Linked DNA regions of Kluyveromyces lactis. The protein of the gene in region 3 interacts with the protein of the main gene of each other region in a pairwise test. Links are inferred from orthologs where the notes say so. Each region holds a gene or a part of one and is shown on either strand. Other genes may lie near its edges.

Region 1 (3,024 bases), on a different chromosome or scaffold from region 3:
CGATCATAGTCTTGATCGTGGTACATGTACGAGCATTGATGTTCATAGTGACAGACCCATTCAAACCGTAAACCTTCAAAAAGACACTCTTCTCAGTGGCACCGAATGCAGACCCATATGTAAACGTACCTATAACATCCGAGTCTCTGAGCTTTACGCTGGAAAACACTATATCGTTAGTACCAGATTCCTTTCTCAATTGGTTAGAAAACGCAGCAATGCTACCGATGTCCCCCAATAGAGTAGTCAACAACGCAAGTTGATGAACACCACCGTCGGACAAAAACCCACCAATGTGTTCTGGATGTTTTCTCCAACTGGTAGCCAGGTATTCACTCGATGGATAGAAGGGACCAGTGGAATTGTAAGTGAACGCAGCAATTGGACCAATCTTAGCCAATTTCTCTTTCATTATTGGCACACATTCTAAATGTAACCAATTCTCTGCGATAGCAACTGGAAGCTCGGTAGATTCAGCCAATTGAACCAATTTCTTAGCCTGTTCCAAGTTAGCTTCAATCGGCTTTTCCAAGATCACCGGTTTACCAGCTTCTACACTCTTCTTCGCAGTCTCATAGTTGAATTGAACAGGAACCATCACATCCACTACGTCAACGGAATCATCTTGCAACAAATGGTCCAAATCTGCGTAAACTTTAGACTCCTCGATACCAGCAGTGACAGCAAACGCATCTGCTTTACTCTTGGTCCTGTTGAAACATGCGACTGGTTTGAACTTATCGCTGTGCTGTTGGAAAGTGGGCAAGTGCTTGTTTCTTGCAAAGATACCGGTACCTACAATACCAACGTTTAAAGGTGCAGACATATTGTAAAATATATCGAGTGTGTGTTGTTTGTATTGGGGCGACTATAAATCAACAAGTCAAGCCAATTAGATCAAGGATACATGTGTTGTTCATCTATATCGGAAGCACTTCCCCTTTATATATCTGGATTAATCTCTCGAACGGACAAGGTTTTTCCGGTTTCTTGCCATTCGTGTCGGGTTATTATTAATCCAGTCACCAGTTGTCACAAACCGGATAACAGTGGAACGACAACGGCAATGTCAATGGCAATGAGCAATGGCAATGGCAACTCTGGTAGCAAAGCGGAGGGAACTACGCCAAGAGAGTGGGGAGGTTCCTGCTTTGACGTAGTTTTAAGCCGTTTCTATATAGAATATGTATGTAAGACCTGCACACCTCACTGAGAAAGCTGCTCAAGCGTGCAGCAAGAGCAGACATGGATCAAGTTCGCGATCTCCGGCCATACAGGCTGCAAACACCGGCTACAGACCCGTTACTTCATTGTGGTATCGGTCCGTCGTCCAGTACGATTGGTTCCCATTTCTTCTGTACAGTGAGTGCCATACTGAAAAATTTGGAACTAAAGCGATGAGATGAGATGAGATGAGATGAACCATATACATGAGAGAAGAGACAACAGACCACAAGGTTCAGCAGGTTAACTAAGGACAACAATAACACGATGAGCAAGGAGTACAGCGATGTGGATGATTTTGCGTCAGACGAAGAAGAGGACAACCAAGTGTTGATCACTGGGAAGGATGCGAAGAAGAATGTGATTCAGTTTGATCAAGAAGAGGACGAGGAAGAGCAAGAGGAAGAGGACGAGGAAGTACAGGATGAAGAAGAACCGGAGGATAAGGTAGTACAACTCACAGAACAGCAGATAGAGAAAGAAAAGCAGAGACGACTCAAAAAGCTTAAGAGCGATAAGAAGACGAAACACAAGACCGGTGTGGTTTACCTATCGAGGGTTCCACCGTACATGAAACCAGCCAAGCTAAGGCAGATTCTCACAAGATTCGGTGAAGTGGACCGTCTGTTCTTGAAACGTGAAGAGGAGCACAAGCACCAGCAGCGTGTCAAGAGTGGTGGGAACAAGAAAACGATGTTTGAAGAAGGTTGGGCCGAGTTTATCAGAAAGAAGGACGCTAAACTGTGCGCATCGACTCTAAACGGTAATATTATCGGTGGTAAGAAGGGAAATTTCTACCATGACGACGTCATGAACGTTAAATACTTGCCCGGGTTCAAATGGGCCGATTTGACAGAACAAATCGCTAGAGAAAACGATATCAGACAAGCAAAGCTACAATTGGAAATCTCACAGGCCAACAAGTTGAACGCAGAGTTCATCCATAACGTAGAGAAATCAAAGATGGTCAACAAGATGAAACAGAGCAAGAAACGTAACCAACAAGAATCACAGCAGGTCGATGAAGAAGTTCGCAGGACTTTCAAACAGAGGAAAGTCGCTTCGACAAGAGCATCTGCTCCAGATTCTCAGAGACAATCCCAACCGCAATCGAAAGCACTCAACGATGTCATGCATAGTTTATTCTAAGATGACTATATAACACATATATAAAGCATATAGCCAAGCCAAAAGCCCTACAGAGAGTACAACTCATCGCCTGCCATTCCCATGGTCAAAGATCAGGTTTCTTTTTCATTCCCATAGTGTAAGAAAAAGTGAAAAGAAAAAATTTTCCAGCTCATCTCATCTCATCTCATGAATTGGAACAGGAACAAAGGCAGGTTCATCAGTGGTTTGTTTCGATTCAGGTTGATCTCAGTCCAGGCAAGAGACATTCAGTTACTTATTCTTCCATCTGTTTGAGTTTTCGATCGAAATTGAACGTGTTCGTTACCACAAAGAACGAACAAACGAACGAACCAAAGGAAACCTAATTGAAATCTATACCAAGGCACAATGGGTACCGGTAAGAAGGAAAAGCAAAGGAGAATCCGCGAAGGTAATACCAAGGATGGTAACCTTCGTGTGAAGGGTGAGAATTTCTACAGGGACACCAAGAGAGTGCAGTTTTTGAACATGTACAAAGGTGGTAGATCTGTTCGTAATGCAAAGGGTGACATTATCAAGGCTGCTCCGTTGCAGGATACTGCTGCTCCAACAGCAAGAGTGGCTCCTGACCGTAGATGGTTTGGTAATACCAGAGTTATTTCTCAGGATTCATTGAGCCATTTCAGAGAA
Region 2 (3,594 bases), on a different chromosome or scaffold from region 3:
AGCAGCCAAGGCCTTTTCCACTCTCTTGAACAACTTAGAGTCCAAAGGTTGAGCAGTGGTAACAGTCGCTTGCACAAGACCATGGTAAGCATCAGTCAACTTGGAGAATTGGGAAGTGACATGTTCTAACAAGGATAATCTGTTGTTTTCAGCCAAAACCTTCAACAAGTTTTGAACGGATTGATCCAAATTGATTTTCTTGGACAAAGTGTCAACAACAATGTTTCTATCTTCAGCAGACAAGGCTGGGTTTTCCAAAATGCTGGTCAACTTGGTGTCCTTGGCAACAGTTTCCTTCAAAGCATTCAATGAGGAAGCAGCAGCTTCAACGGAAGTGGTCTTTGAGGCAGCAGTGAACAATGCAGTGGCATAGGTACCATCCAAACCGAACAATTGCACTGGAGGCTTAACACCAGCCTTGGCAGAAGCTGCCATAGAACGAACAAATACTCTGGAAAACATGACTCTGTATATAGTGGTCTCTTTGATTCAATAATTCAATGATTTTATGGTTATTCAAACAATTGGAAGAAAACTTGCTCAATAGATTAAATGAAGTTTAAAGCTTAAGATAAGGTTTGGTACAATGGCAATAACAAAACACACACCTAATCGGAAAAGAGAGACTTGTCTTAATCTGATCAATGCAGAATCACTAACAAAATAGCAAATACACTTAAAAAATACAAATAAGCTAACGTAGAACGAAAGCTTCTTTTCCTGTAAATTACAAATTTATTTCTTAAAGGTGTGGAAATATTGAAAGTTCAATAAATTTTCAATTTTTTTTCCTTCCTTTACCTATATTTTTTCAAAACTTTCTCTGTTTTTGATCGGATCCTCCCTCCTATGTGTTCTTCTTTGTCTCTGTTTCGTTTCTGCTCTTGTGTTCTTGTTCCGGCCAAAGAGGTCCAAAAAAAAAAAAAAAAAACACGATCTAAGTTCCTCAGTAGTCGTAGGAAACGATGACGTGTTTTCATTGGTTGCGAGTCACGTGGAAATTAAACACTATGCTTTCACTTTTAATAGATATATTTGACCTTAATAGACGCTATGAGGCTTCTTAAAAGTAATTTGTATTGGATATTTGGTGCATCGAGAGTTTGAGACTAAGAATCGCTATCTTACAATCACGTGATTTAATAATAGCACGTGATCTATATATTTTCCTCTTCTTTTTGAAGATCCGAAAAGGTAATCTGGAGTTTCTTTTTTGTAGTTGAAAAATTCAAGAAAGTTGATGTTTGAGAGATGAGACGAGATGAGATGAGATGAGAGACTCTTATATGGATAAATCAGCTGTACTCAATAGTGAGTTGTAAGTGAGGACGGTGAAGTACACGTAAAATACACGCAGATTAAATGGGTAAAAAGTCTTTGGCCGAACAAATCGCAGACATTGCGAATAAACCACAAGTTGAAGATTTCGACATTGAGAATGATGAAGGTGTATTTCAACATGGTGGGTCCGATTCAGATGTTAGTTCTGGCGATGAGAGCGAAGAAGAGTTGAAGAAACAGCATTATGTGGCAGTAGGAAAGTCAAAACTTAGAAATGTGGTCGATCAAGGATTGGCCGTAAAGGATAAGAAATACGTCGGGAGCAAAGGGTCTAGAGCAGAACTGTTCAATGACGAAGAAATGGACGCTCCTGAACAAGGAGAAAGTGAGTCTGAAGCTGAATCCGGATCTGAAGAGAGTGATGCAGTATCCTTTAGAAGCGATTCAGAAGATGTATCCGAATCTGAAGCCACTTCCGAGTCAGAAATAGAGAAAGATAGAGAGGAAGATGAGGAGACTGCGATGAAGAAAGAGAAATTGGCCAAGATAGTACAGACGCAAACTAAACAAGTGATTAATAATTTAGCACATTCCGCTCAGAGAGATGCTTCCAAAGGTTATGCCATCTTACAACAGAATAAATTCTTCGATAAAATTCTAGACTCTAGAATTAAGTTGCAAAAAGCATTATCCGCTTCAAACCAGTTACCACTTTCTCAACAATCTTGGGATGAACTTCTAGATGAAAATAACTCCAAATTGCTAACTAGTACTTTCAAAGTTTTAGAGAAAGTTTTGACCCAGTGTGTTACAGTAAGGCATAAATTCCAAATCGGTGATCACATAAACCAATCTGAGAACCCTTCTGACTTCGATAACAGCAAAAAGAGAAGTTTTAAGGAACTAGTACATGAAACTGTAACATTGGATTCTGATTTAAAATCATACCGTTCTGCCGTACTTAACAAATGGTCAGCAAAAGTTTCTGCATCATCAGGAAAATCTCTTCTGCAAGCCTCCAAGTTTAAAGCGATCAACCAGTCAGCTGATGTACAAGTGGATAACCAACTTGCTGATATGCCAAGATTACTTAAAAGGACAAAACTCAATAGAAGCAATACTAAACCTTTGTTGTTTGATGAAGATTTACAAAAAGGTCTACTAAAAGAATTGCAACTGGAGGAAAACGTAGAAGGAGACATCGAAGAAGAAAATAATTTGGATATTCCAAAGAATTACGATCCAAGAAGGAAGGATAACAATGCATTAGATTTTACCCAAAACCCATATATCTATGATGACGAAGATTTTTACAGAGTTTTGTTGAATGATCTTGTTGAGAAAAAAATATCTAACTCTCAACAATCCAATGGTGTTACTTTGGCCATCACTTCTCGCTCTGAAAACAAGCTCAAGAAAAACATCGACACCAAGGCTTCAAAGGGTCGTAAACTAAATTACTCTATTCAAGAACCAATTGCCAATTATGAAGCATCAGTTAATACTGGGTATAAATGGTCGGATGAGCAAATTGATGAATTCTTTGCTGGTTTATTAGGTCAAAAGATCAACTTCAATGAAGACGATGAATTGGAAGCTGACACGATGCACAACGAGGAAGACGAAGAGATCAAAAATGACGATATTCAAATTTTCGGATAATTTGGAGTTCGACCTTCAACTTGTATTTATTTTTCATCTATTGTTTATTATTATAATTAAAATATGTACACGGCATTCAAAATGTCCAACAAACTGACATCGACAAATCAAACATCGATAATATTGCTCATGTTACTTGCCATACTCTCTAAGTCAACCTCATTTTCTTCTTTTTCTCTTCTATGGCATTCTTCCACTATGTTTTCCCAATTGGAATTGAAAACACAATAGCTCAAAGCAAACGCCAGTAATAAGATCCCGGTACCGCATCCGTACCAAAGCCCTTTTAATCCCAACTGAAATTTACCAAAAGTTAGCCATCCACTTAAAGGCAATGCGATAAAATAGTATGCTATGATATTTAACAGGCTGCCAACTTGCTGCCGTCCTTGTGCACGTAATATCGCAGCGCTAAAAGTTGTGAATGCATCATATAATTGGTTAACTGCCAAAATTGGAGCGACATGACGATATAACTCAACGACCTCTTTGTCTTTAGTGAACAAATACGCTAAATTCTTGTCACCTGTTAAAATCAAACAACAATTCGCAATCCCTACAAACGCTGCTATCACGTACGACGTATTAATACAGATCTTCGCGTTGTTGACCGATTCTGTCCCAACATAATTAGCAACCCTTGTGGAAACT
Region 3 (4,185 bases):
ACGGTCTGGATAAAATTAAGTCACTTTGATTCGACATTGCAGAGTAGTAATTGGAACTAAAACCCACGAAATTCTACCCTCACTAATCACAGCCTATCTAATACAGGTATATTGGGGTTTTCTTATATTTGACACCAACTTTGGATAGAATAGAACTCTTATCGTTTAGAAACGACAACTTTTGCTTCTTTCTATAATACTACACATACAAAAGCTATTCTTATTTCATTTTAATTTTTCATTCGCAGAACAGGTTTAAAACAAAACTTTTTGAATGAAATTTCCCTTCAAGTAACATGTCATTTTAAACGTTTTGATCTTTGGAAGGTCTGTGGGTGAAATGCTTTGAATCACGAAGCAAGTCGGTAAATGCCAGAGCTACTTTGATGAGGCAATAAATTATTCAAGTGTATTGTCGTAATCCTAAAAGGGAGATGTTATCCTATTATTGGAATGCAAGGTTATCGTCTATTTTTATACATGATTAAATAAGTCAAGCAGTTGATGAATCTAAGATCCAATCAAATTTGCTGTTAGAGATTCCAAATCTTCAAGAGTCTGTGGCTCTTCCACTTCGATAATTCTATCACGTTCAGTAGTTCTTTCTTCCTCTTCCTCATCTTCACTGGAATCAGCATATTTGCTCTTTTTTCTTGGTTGCCTTTCATCTTGAGAATCGTCTTCAGTGTCAGCTCCAGATTGCATATCGTCACTTAGGTTCCCAGTTCCAAGGTATGCTACTGGTTCATCCTCATAATCACTATCCTCCATATCAGCTTCCATTTCTTTTCTCATTGCTTCTAGTCTCTTACGTTTCTTTTCTTGCCTTTTCTCTTTTGCAACCTGTTTATCTTCTACATCAACCTTTGCCATAAGCTCTGCCTCCTTAGACAAGAACTCTTCTTTTTGCTTCTCTGAGTTACCATTTTGACGGAAATCTTGTTCATCTTCTAATTCGTAAACAGGATGAGCTTTACCATCATCGTCAAATTTGACTTTGGTTGGGTTACCATTAGATGCTAATGTTGCCTTCCTTGATAATGCTTTCTTTTGGGCTCTCTTAGATGTTGGAACAAGAAGTTCAGGTAATTCAGCTTCATTCAACTCATGGTCTTGACGTTTAACCATGATGAAATCTTCATCCTCATCATCATGAGCTTGTGCTTTGGTGACATTCAGATAGTGCTCACTTAGCACAGTTTGGTTTTTCCGTTCGAACATCTTGTCATATCTGGTCCTCACTTCAGGTTTGTTTTCTTTAATCACATCACCTTCATCATTTGCCTTTGCTAGGGTTAGGAGCTGTCTTGATGTATTTTTCAACTCCTTTGCCTTCTCTATCGATTTCATTCCCCTCATCTTGATCTTTGGAGCACCTGGTAAACCTAAAGAGTTAGCAAATTGTTCCAATGGTATTTTGTCGAAATGGAAGACTTCTTTGTCTTTTTGAATGTATATCGATCTAACATAAGAAATGAAAGCCTTTTGGCCTAGATATTTCAATTCGGGATCTTTGAAAAGGAGTGATTGTAACTGAGGTTTGATAGATTTCTTTTTTGATTGTTTGATATTTAGTCTACTGGGCTCAATGTTTTTAGTTTTTAATCTTTTCAAGAATCCCTCCTCTTCCTCTGGTGTTAACATAATGAGTGACTTACCTTCTTTACCGAATCTGGCTGCTCTTCCAACTCTGTGGATATATGTATCGACATCCTCAGGACAATCAACCTGGATCACCCAATCAACAGATGGGAAATCAATACCTCTAGCAACCACATCAGTTGAGAATAGACAGACATGTTGCGCTCTGCTGAACTTATCCAGCGTCTCAGTTCTCGCCGTTTGCTTTTGTCTACCATGCAAGTGCATCAAAGATATACCAGGTTGTAATTTCCTGAAAGTTTCATAAACAAAATGCACCTGTTTAGAGCTTGATAGAAACACAATTAACTTAGACTTTAAATGCGATTTTATGAAACTGAACAGAATGTCAAGTTTGTCAGGTAGTGGCACTTCGATATATGACTGCTGTAAAGATTCTGGAGTCGCAGATGAACTATTAGCATTTAAAACTTCCATCGTTCCTACCTGTTTGTAATCTGTCAAAGATAATCTAGCCAAGTCATCCAAACTTTGTGATTGAGTAGCTGAAAACAAAAGTGTTTGTCTTGAAGCAGGCAAATTATTAATAATGGCATCAAGGGTTCTCTTGAAACCCATATCTAGACATCTGTCGGCTTCATCGAGTACTAACAACTGTAAATTTGAAGTATTGAATCCAACGGCTTGATCCATATGCTGTAAGATTCTGCCTGGTGTTCCTATTAGAATGTTAATTCTCGAAATTCTCTCTTTCTCAAAAGTAACATCTTTACCACCAATAACCAAACCGGCGGAGAAGGTAGTGTGCTTACCAATTTTACTTAACACTTCATATATTTGCATGGCCAATTCTCTTGTTGGGGAGATGATCAATGCACCTAGCCCATCCATGTCTGTCCACTTCTCTCTGTATAACTTTTCGATAACAGGGATCAAAAATGCTAGAGTCTTACCAGAACCTGTCTTGGCAGCGCCTAATACATCGTGGCCTTTCAAGGAGAGAGGTATGGACTCGCGCTGAATCTCGGTTAATTTGATAAATGCTGCTTCTTTCAACCCTTTTAGAGTTTGTTCACTAATGGGTAAATCTTGAAACAAATTAGCCTTAGCAATTTTCGGGTTATATTCTTCAACCTTAGTTTCAAGATCTTTGATCTTCTGGCTGTCTCTTTCACGAATCAGCTTACGCTGCTGGGTATTATGCTTTTGTTTCTTGGCCATCTTTAAATGCTCTTTGCAAACCAATTATAAGTTATATTGGCACAGTTGATTAAACGTTTAGTTAAATGATTAAATGCACCAGTTTGCTACTTTAATCAACTTCTCTATAGGTCGATTAATGATACCGCTCAAAGACAAAGTAAACTACTTTTCCTTGAGGTTGAGGTTCGAACCTCTATCTAGATGAGATGAGATGAGATGAGCTCTTCTATTTACCAAAAATTTTCTTTTCTATTTCTTTTTTCCTACAACATGAAAAGCGATGAAATGACAGATGAACCTTATATTGTGAATTGCACAATATATGGAATAAATATGTAAGATATATGGAATATACCGTCATCTATGGAAGCAACGGCGCCAAAAGAATGAGCATCAAACGTGAAGGTAGCAGATATCGATACGATCACGAAACGAAAAGAAGCCGCTATGAAGGTGCCCAAAAAAAAGTAATCTTGCCTATATTTGAGCCATCAGGATTATTGGAACTGGAAAGCCACCAGAAAAAAGGCATACAACTTAAGCATGTAGAGCCCAAAGATGCGATATCACCCCACGATTTCTATAAAAAGCTAAAAGTACCTAAGTGGGATCAAATTCGTTATGAGCTTGTTGTGTATAGGAAGGGCGTCAAGGGTGAAGTAAGTAAAACTAAGTTGCATGATAAAAGTTGCTATATTATCGGTAGAGGATTAGGTCAGAGTCTACGACGCTTCGAATCTGATGGAGAGGAAATTATTCTTGCTGATATCCCAATCCAAGAGGAAAGCTGTTCGAAAGAACATTGTGCCGTACAATTCCGACAAGTCGGTGAATCTTTAATTCCATACTTGATTGATCTTGATTCTTCCAACGGTACGTGTTTGAATGATTCAGCCGTTCCTAGCGCCCGGTATATCGAGTTAAAGAGCTCTGATATTATACACGTATCTGAAGATCCAAATGATTCAGATTATGAGCTCATTTTCCTAGCCGTATGATCTATTCTTTTGTATTTTTCATGTACAAGTCCTTCTTGAGAATCGATTTCTTGAAACCTTATATTATTTGTATTTTATAAAATCGGAAATGTAATTTCTATACATTACAAAACTATGTGAGAAAAAGATAAATCAATATCGATGTATGCTAGAGAATGGAAGAGGTAGTTGGACTCGTTTTAAATATGTTAAACAAGAACTTTTTCTTTTTTTTTTTTTTGCTGCTTTATTCTTCTCGTTGCGTACAAGTCAATGGAACTTTCCGCAGTTGTGTTGTTCCAGACATACGGGTCAGCATCAGAGCTTGTCAAATATAGAAATGACATGCGCAAGACAATACAGATTTGGAAATTGAAAGATTGCAAAGTAAACTAAAGTTTTG
Region 4 (4,065 bases), on a different chromosome or scaffold from region 3:
TAATATCGTAGGTGCCATCCACTTGAAGACCTTAGATTGGAAAGATCTCATAGAAAAGCCCGATTCCCTTCCAACATATAATTTCTGGAACCTGGAGAAAACAATCTCCTTCGGTAAAAAAGTTGCTAACTGCGATAGCTCAGATTCATTTACAATTTTAGTAGGATTTGAGATTGGTTGAAGAACGTCCGCGTCTACGAGATCTCTATCCATATAAAGAACATGTTCCATTAGCATTTTCAAGGGATTTAAAAGATTAGGGGCAACATCATTAACGGCCATGGAAAATTGGGTATATGTGATTGATGAATCCAAACAGTCTGACATTGATATAATCTCGGGGTTCATTGTGCGTACAATATTAAGAGCTTGATGTTTGAAGTCCTCTAAGCTCTTCGCCAAAACATCATTGTCAATTTTACAATTGTTCAAAATGCAGCAGCGAGAAAGAGCCAATATCAATGCCAAAAAGTGAAGAAGATTATTTGCATTTACTTTCAATTCATCAAAATCAGTTCCGTTATAAGATCTAATGACCCCTTTCCAATCCTTACAATCAGATAGAGCCGAAGAGTCCATGAGAGGTTCAGCTTTGATATTCTTTTCCAAAGAGAGCGTAATAAATAGCATTTTCAAATCATTGTACTTTTTCCAATCGGTGTACTTGATGGCTCTTTCCTTGACTAGTAATAGCGTGGCCTTTAACAAGGTTTTGAAAGTAACCTTTTCGTAGGAATCTTGTAGAAGTGGAAAGTTCGCTAGAGTATGAAACATATTCATAAATACCGATAACATTACAGCACTATCTTTCGGGATATAATACATTCTGCTAATATCTGAAACCTCGACATAATCGTTTAGTTCTTTGCCCTCAGGAATATTGTTCTTGAACGAAATTAGTTCAGCAGTAGTTAATTGTTTTAAGCATCTGTCATTGAAAAAATCCATTAAAGATTCTCCTTTTAGTTTAGATTCATTTGTCCTAGCATTTTCATGCTCTTTAGAAGTTGATTGGCCCATTTTGCATACATTATTGTGACAGTTATCCTTATGGCTTTCCTTCTTAGCACCTTTTCAGAGTATGTGTAAGAGTAAATCCTTAAATATACCTTAATGTAAAAAGAGGAGACTACGTACTAACACAAAGAAACAAAATGTTAACATATAAGAAAATGGTTGGGAGCAAGAAATTCCTGACAAGGTAGACTAGAGCCAGCCTGTATACATGGTATATGAAAGTGAAAACATATAGTTCTTCCGACCTGTAATTGCTCTTTACGGCTCGATTACATCTGTATTTGGCTCTTTTCACGTGACCGAAGTTCACCAACATTATTTTTTTTCTTTTTGATTTTAGAGTTTTTTTTTTTTCTTTTCAAATTATGCCAACCTCATCTCATCTCATCTCATCGACACCTACTAGTTAATCAGTAAGTTCAAGATTTTAAACCTTATGCACATCTAGTTTCGGTATCGTGCCAACGAAATCAACTAAGTGAACAATTTAGAGTCATATTAGTATACTAAAGGATGAATTCGAAAGGGGAGAAAAAGGAGAAGATCACTGAAGATCCAAGATTTTCTGGGATTCATAATGATCCTAAGTTTAGGTCAACTAAATCCAAGAACTTTAAGATCAAATTGGATGATAGATTCAGTAAACAAGATCTAGAAGTCAGACGTAAAGCAAAAGTTGATAAATATGGTAGAAAAATTGTGGATGCTAACAAGGATGTAAAGGATTTTGATCGTTATTTTACCAAGGAAAAGCCGGAGGACAAGGAGGATGAGTCTAATTCATCCGAAAGCAGCGATGATCAAGAAGCTGAAGCTGCTGTTCATGCAAAATCTGTTGATAGAGCTCGTGGTGAACCTCCTGCTGATTACGTTTCTTCTTCTGATGAAGAGTCCTCCTCTGAATCCGAAGAAGAATCTGGGGACAGTGACATTGAATCAGAAGAAATCGAACTAGAAGAGTCCAAACCTGCTAGTGGAAATGCCACAAATACGTTGGCTGTAGTGAACCTGGATTGGGATCATGTCAAATCTGCTGATTTGTTTGTCACATTTAAGTCTTTCGTGCCTAAGGGAGGAGAGATTCAAAAAATTGCCATATATCCAAGTGAATTTGGTAAAGAAAGGATGCAACGTGAAGAGATCGAAGGTCCTCCAAAAGAATTATTCCAGTCAAAGAAATCCAAGAAGAATGATAAAGATGATGATGAGATTAATGTCGAATCAATTTATGAGGAAGGAGACGCAGAGGACTATGATTCTAAAGCACTTCGTCGTTACCAATTGGAACGTCTAAGATACTATTATGCCGTGGTTTACTGCAGCGACATTAGGACAGCCGAATCAATCTATCAAAACTGTGATGGCACAGAATATGAATCTACAGCCAATGTCTTTGATTTAAGGTATGTGCCTGATGGTATGGAAATGGATGATGATCCTCGTGATGAATGTACCTCGCTTCCAAAAAATTACAAGCCGGCACAATTCAGTACAGATGCCCTTCAGCATTCCAAGGTAAAGCTTACATGGGATGAAACTCCTGCAGACCGTGTGGAAATATCTAAAAGAGCATTCACTCAAAAAGAAATTGAAGAAATGGACTTTAAAGCTTATTTAGCCTCCGATAGTGAAGAATCTGAAGTTGAGCATGATGATCAAGTTAAAAATAAACTCAAGGCTTTAGTAATGGATTCCGTAAAAGTGGGGCAAAAGTCACTATTTGATCAAAAGGAAGATGAAGACGATAATGAGGCTGATATGGAAATAACTTTCACTCCAGGCCTGGATGAGTCTGGCCAACAAGATACCAATGATAACGAAGAGGAAAGCACCATTGATAAGATTAGACGTAAAGAAAAAGAAAGACGTAAGAAGAGAAAGGACAGAGTCAAGGAGCTTAAGAAGGAATCAGAAGCCAAATTAAAGGAGAACCTTAAGAAGAAGAAAGATACTTCTCACAGCATCGATGACGATAAGAAAAAGGGAGAGTTAGAGCTCTTAATGCTAGATGAAAATGAGGGTGAATCAACAATTAACAACAAGGCACACTTCAACATGAATGAGATTCTCAAATCTGAGAAGGAAAAATCCAAAAAGGCCAAGTATCAAAACAAGGAGAAGATTGTGGATGATGAATTCACTCCAGACGTTAATGATCCAAGATTTAAAGAGGTCTTTGAAGATCACGATTTCGCGATTGATCCTACTCAACCAGAGTTCAAGAAGACACCAGCTATGGAGAAGATTTTAAAGGAACGTACAGTACGTTCAAGCAAAAAATCTAGGGGCAAAAAGCGTAACCACGAAATTGCAAATACTGAACATAGTAAAGACATAAATAAGATCGGCGGTTTAGTTGAAAAACTTAAGGCCAAGAACAAAAGAACAAAACACTAATTTGCAAACTTGTGGACACTTTATATCAACCCAAAGACGTCCACATCTTATATGTATATATTCAGCATTTGATTAAAGCATAAATACATCATTTCACTTAATCATGCGACTGTATCATGGCATGGTCTGTAACTTTAAGTCATTTCCTTATTTATCCAGATTTGTACGTCATATTCTGTGTGTGAACAAAAAGAAAAAGTGCACATTATCACATTATATGAAATAGGTTCATCTTTCTAAAGATTATCTAAAATTGTAGGTAATACACGGACAAACCGATAAACTTACTAGATAGACTCTGCCACTGCCATAATATCCAGGGAATAATGGGGCTGGTACAGGGTTATGAAAGTGAGAGTAGTGATGATGGCTCATCTGTAGCTGTGCCTAAGAGATCGTTAAAAACATCAAAGGCTGAATTGAAGTCCAAAAGACTTAGGAGGAACGGGAAAGGACCATGGGCAAAATGGCAAGGATCTAGTGACGATGAGATCGAACAATTATCAAAGGATTCAAATGCTTCTAATTCCTTAGATTTAGGTGGTGATGAGGATGCAGTGGCATCACAATCACTTGAAAGAACGAAATTTGTAGGCAGTACTGAAAAAGACTATCTGGGAAGATGCATTTTACACCCCCCAGTAGATATTC

Evidence for each region. The genes of interacting proteins can lie anywhere in the genome.
Region 1: the proteins of HCA4 (region 3) and ESF2 interact in binary tests that used the Saccharomyces cerevisiae proteins (3 or more experiments, as listed by UniProt). The link is inferred for Kluyveromyces lactis from reciprocal best matches to the Saccharomyces cerevisiae genes HCA4 and ESF2.
Region 2: the proteins of HCA4 (region 3) and BFR2 interact in binary tests that used the Saccharomyces cerevisiae proteins (3 or more experiments, as listed by UniProt). The link is inferred for Kluyveromyces lactis from reciprocal best matches to the Saccharomyces cerevisiae genes HCA4 and BFR2.
Region 4: the proteins of HCA4 (region 3) and ESF1 interact in binary tests that used the Saccharomyces cerevisiae proteins (3 or more experiments, as listed by UniProt). The link is inferred for Kluyveromyces lactis from reciprocal best matches to the Saccharomyces cerevisiae genes HCA4 and ESF1.

The regions. Positions count from the first base shown.
Region 1 is NC_006039.1:1,673,185-1,676,208, reverse strand, and holds ESF2 (RNA-binding ATPase activator ESF2), read left to right. Parts: upstream 1-1,491; coding exon 1,492-2,373; downstream 2,374-3,024. Other genes in the region: KLLA0_C18887g (uncharacterized protein), read right to left, coding at 1-826; putative GTPase NOG2, read left to right, coding at 2,743-3,024. UniProt on the Saccharomyces cerevisiae protein: Involved in the small subunit (SSU) processome assembly and function, and in the 18S rRNA synthesis. Required for the early cleavages at sites A0, A1 and A2. Stimulates DBP8 RNA helicase ATPase activity.
Region 2 is NC_006039.1:887,472-891,065, reverse strand, and holds BFR2 (rRNA-processing protein BFR2), read left to right. Parts: upstream 1-1,362; coding exon 1,363-2,943; downstream 2,944-3,594. Other genes in the region: ATP5 (F1F0 ATP synthase subunit 5), read right to left, coding at 1-462; ERC1 (Erc1p), read right to left, coding at 3,051-3,594. UniProt on the Saccharomyces cerevisiae protein: Involved in endoplasmic reticulum to Golgi transport. Involved in a protein-transport step blocked by brefeldin A, which disrupts the Golgi apparatus and its incoming protein flux. May also be involved for mass growth or cell proliferation.
Region 3 is NC_006040.1:801,273-805,457, forward strand, and holds HCA4 (RNA-dependent ATPase HCA4), read right to left. Parts: upstream 2,824-4,185; coding exon 511-2,823; downstream 1-510. Other genes in the region: CTK2 (Ctk2p), read right to left, coding at 1-37; PML1 (Pml1p), read left to right, coding at 3,150-3,803. UniProt on the Saccharomyces cerevisiae protein: ATP-dependent RNA helicase required for ribosome biogenesis. Involved in the release of U14 snoRNA in pre-ribosomal complexes. Required for pre-rRNA cleavage at site A2.
Region 4 is NC_006041.1:1,888,784-1,892,848, forward strand, and holds ESF1 (pre-rRNA-processing protein ESF1), read left to right. Parts: upstream 1-1,530; coding exon 1,531-3,414; downstream 3,415-4,065. Other genes in the region: RTC5 (Rtc5p), read right to left, coding at 1-1,020; CDC40 (Cdc40p), read left to right, coding at 3,741-4,065. UniProt on the Saccharomyces cerevisiae protein: Involved in the 18S rRNA synthesis. Required for the early cleavages at sites A0, A1 and A2.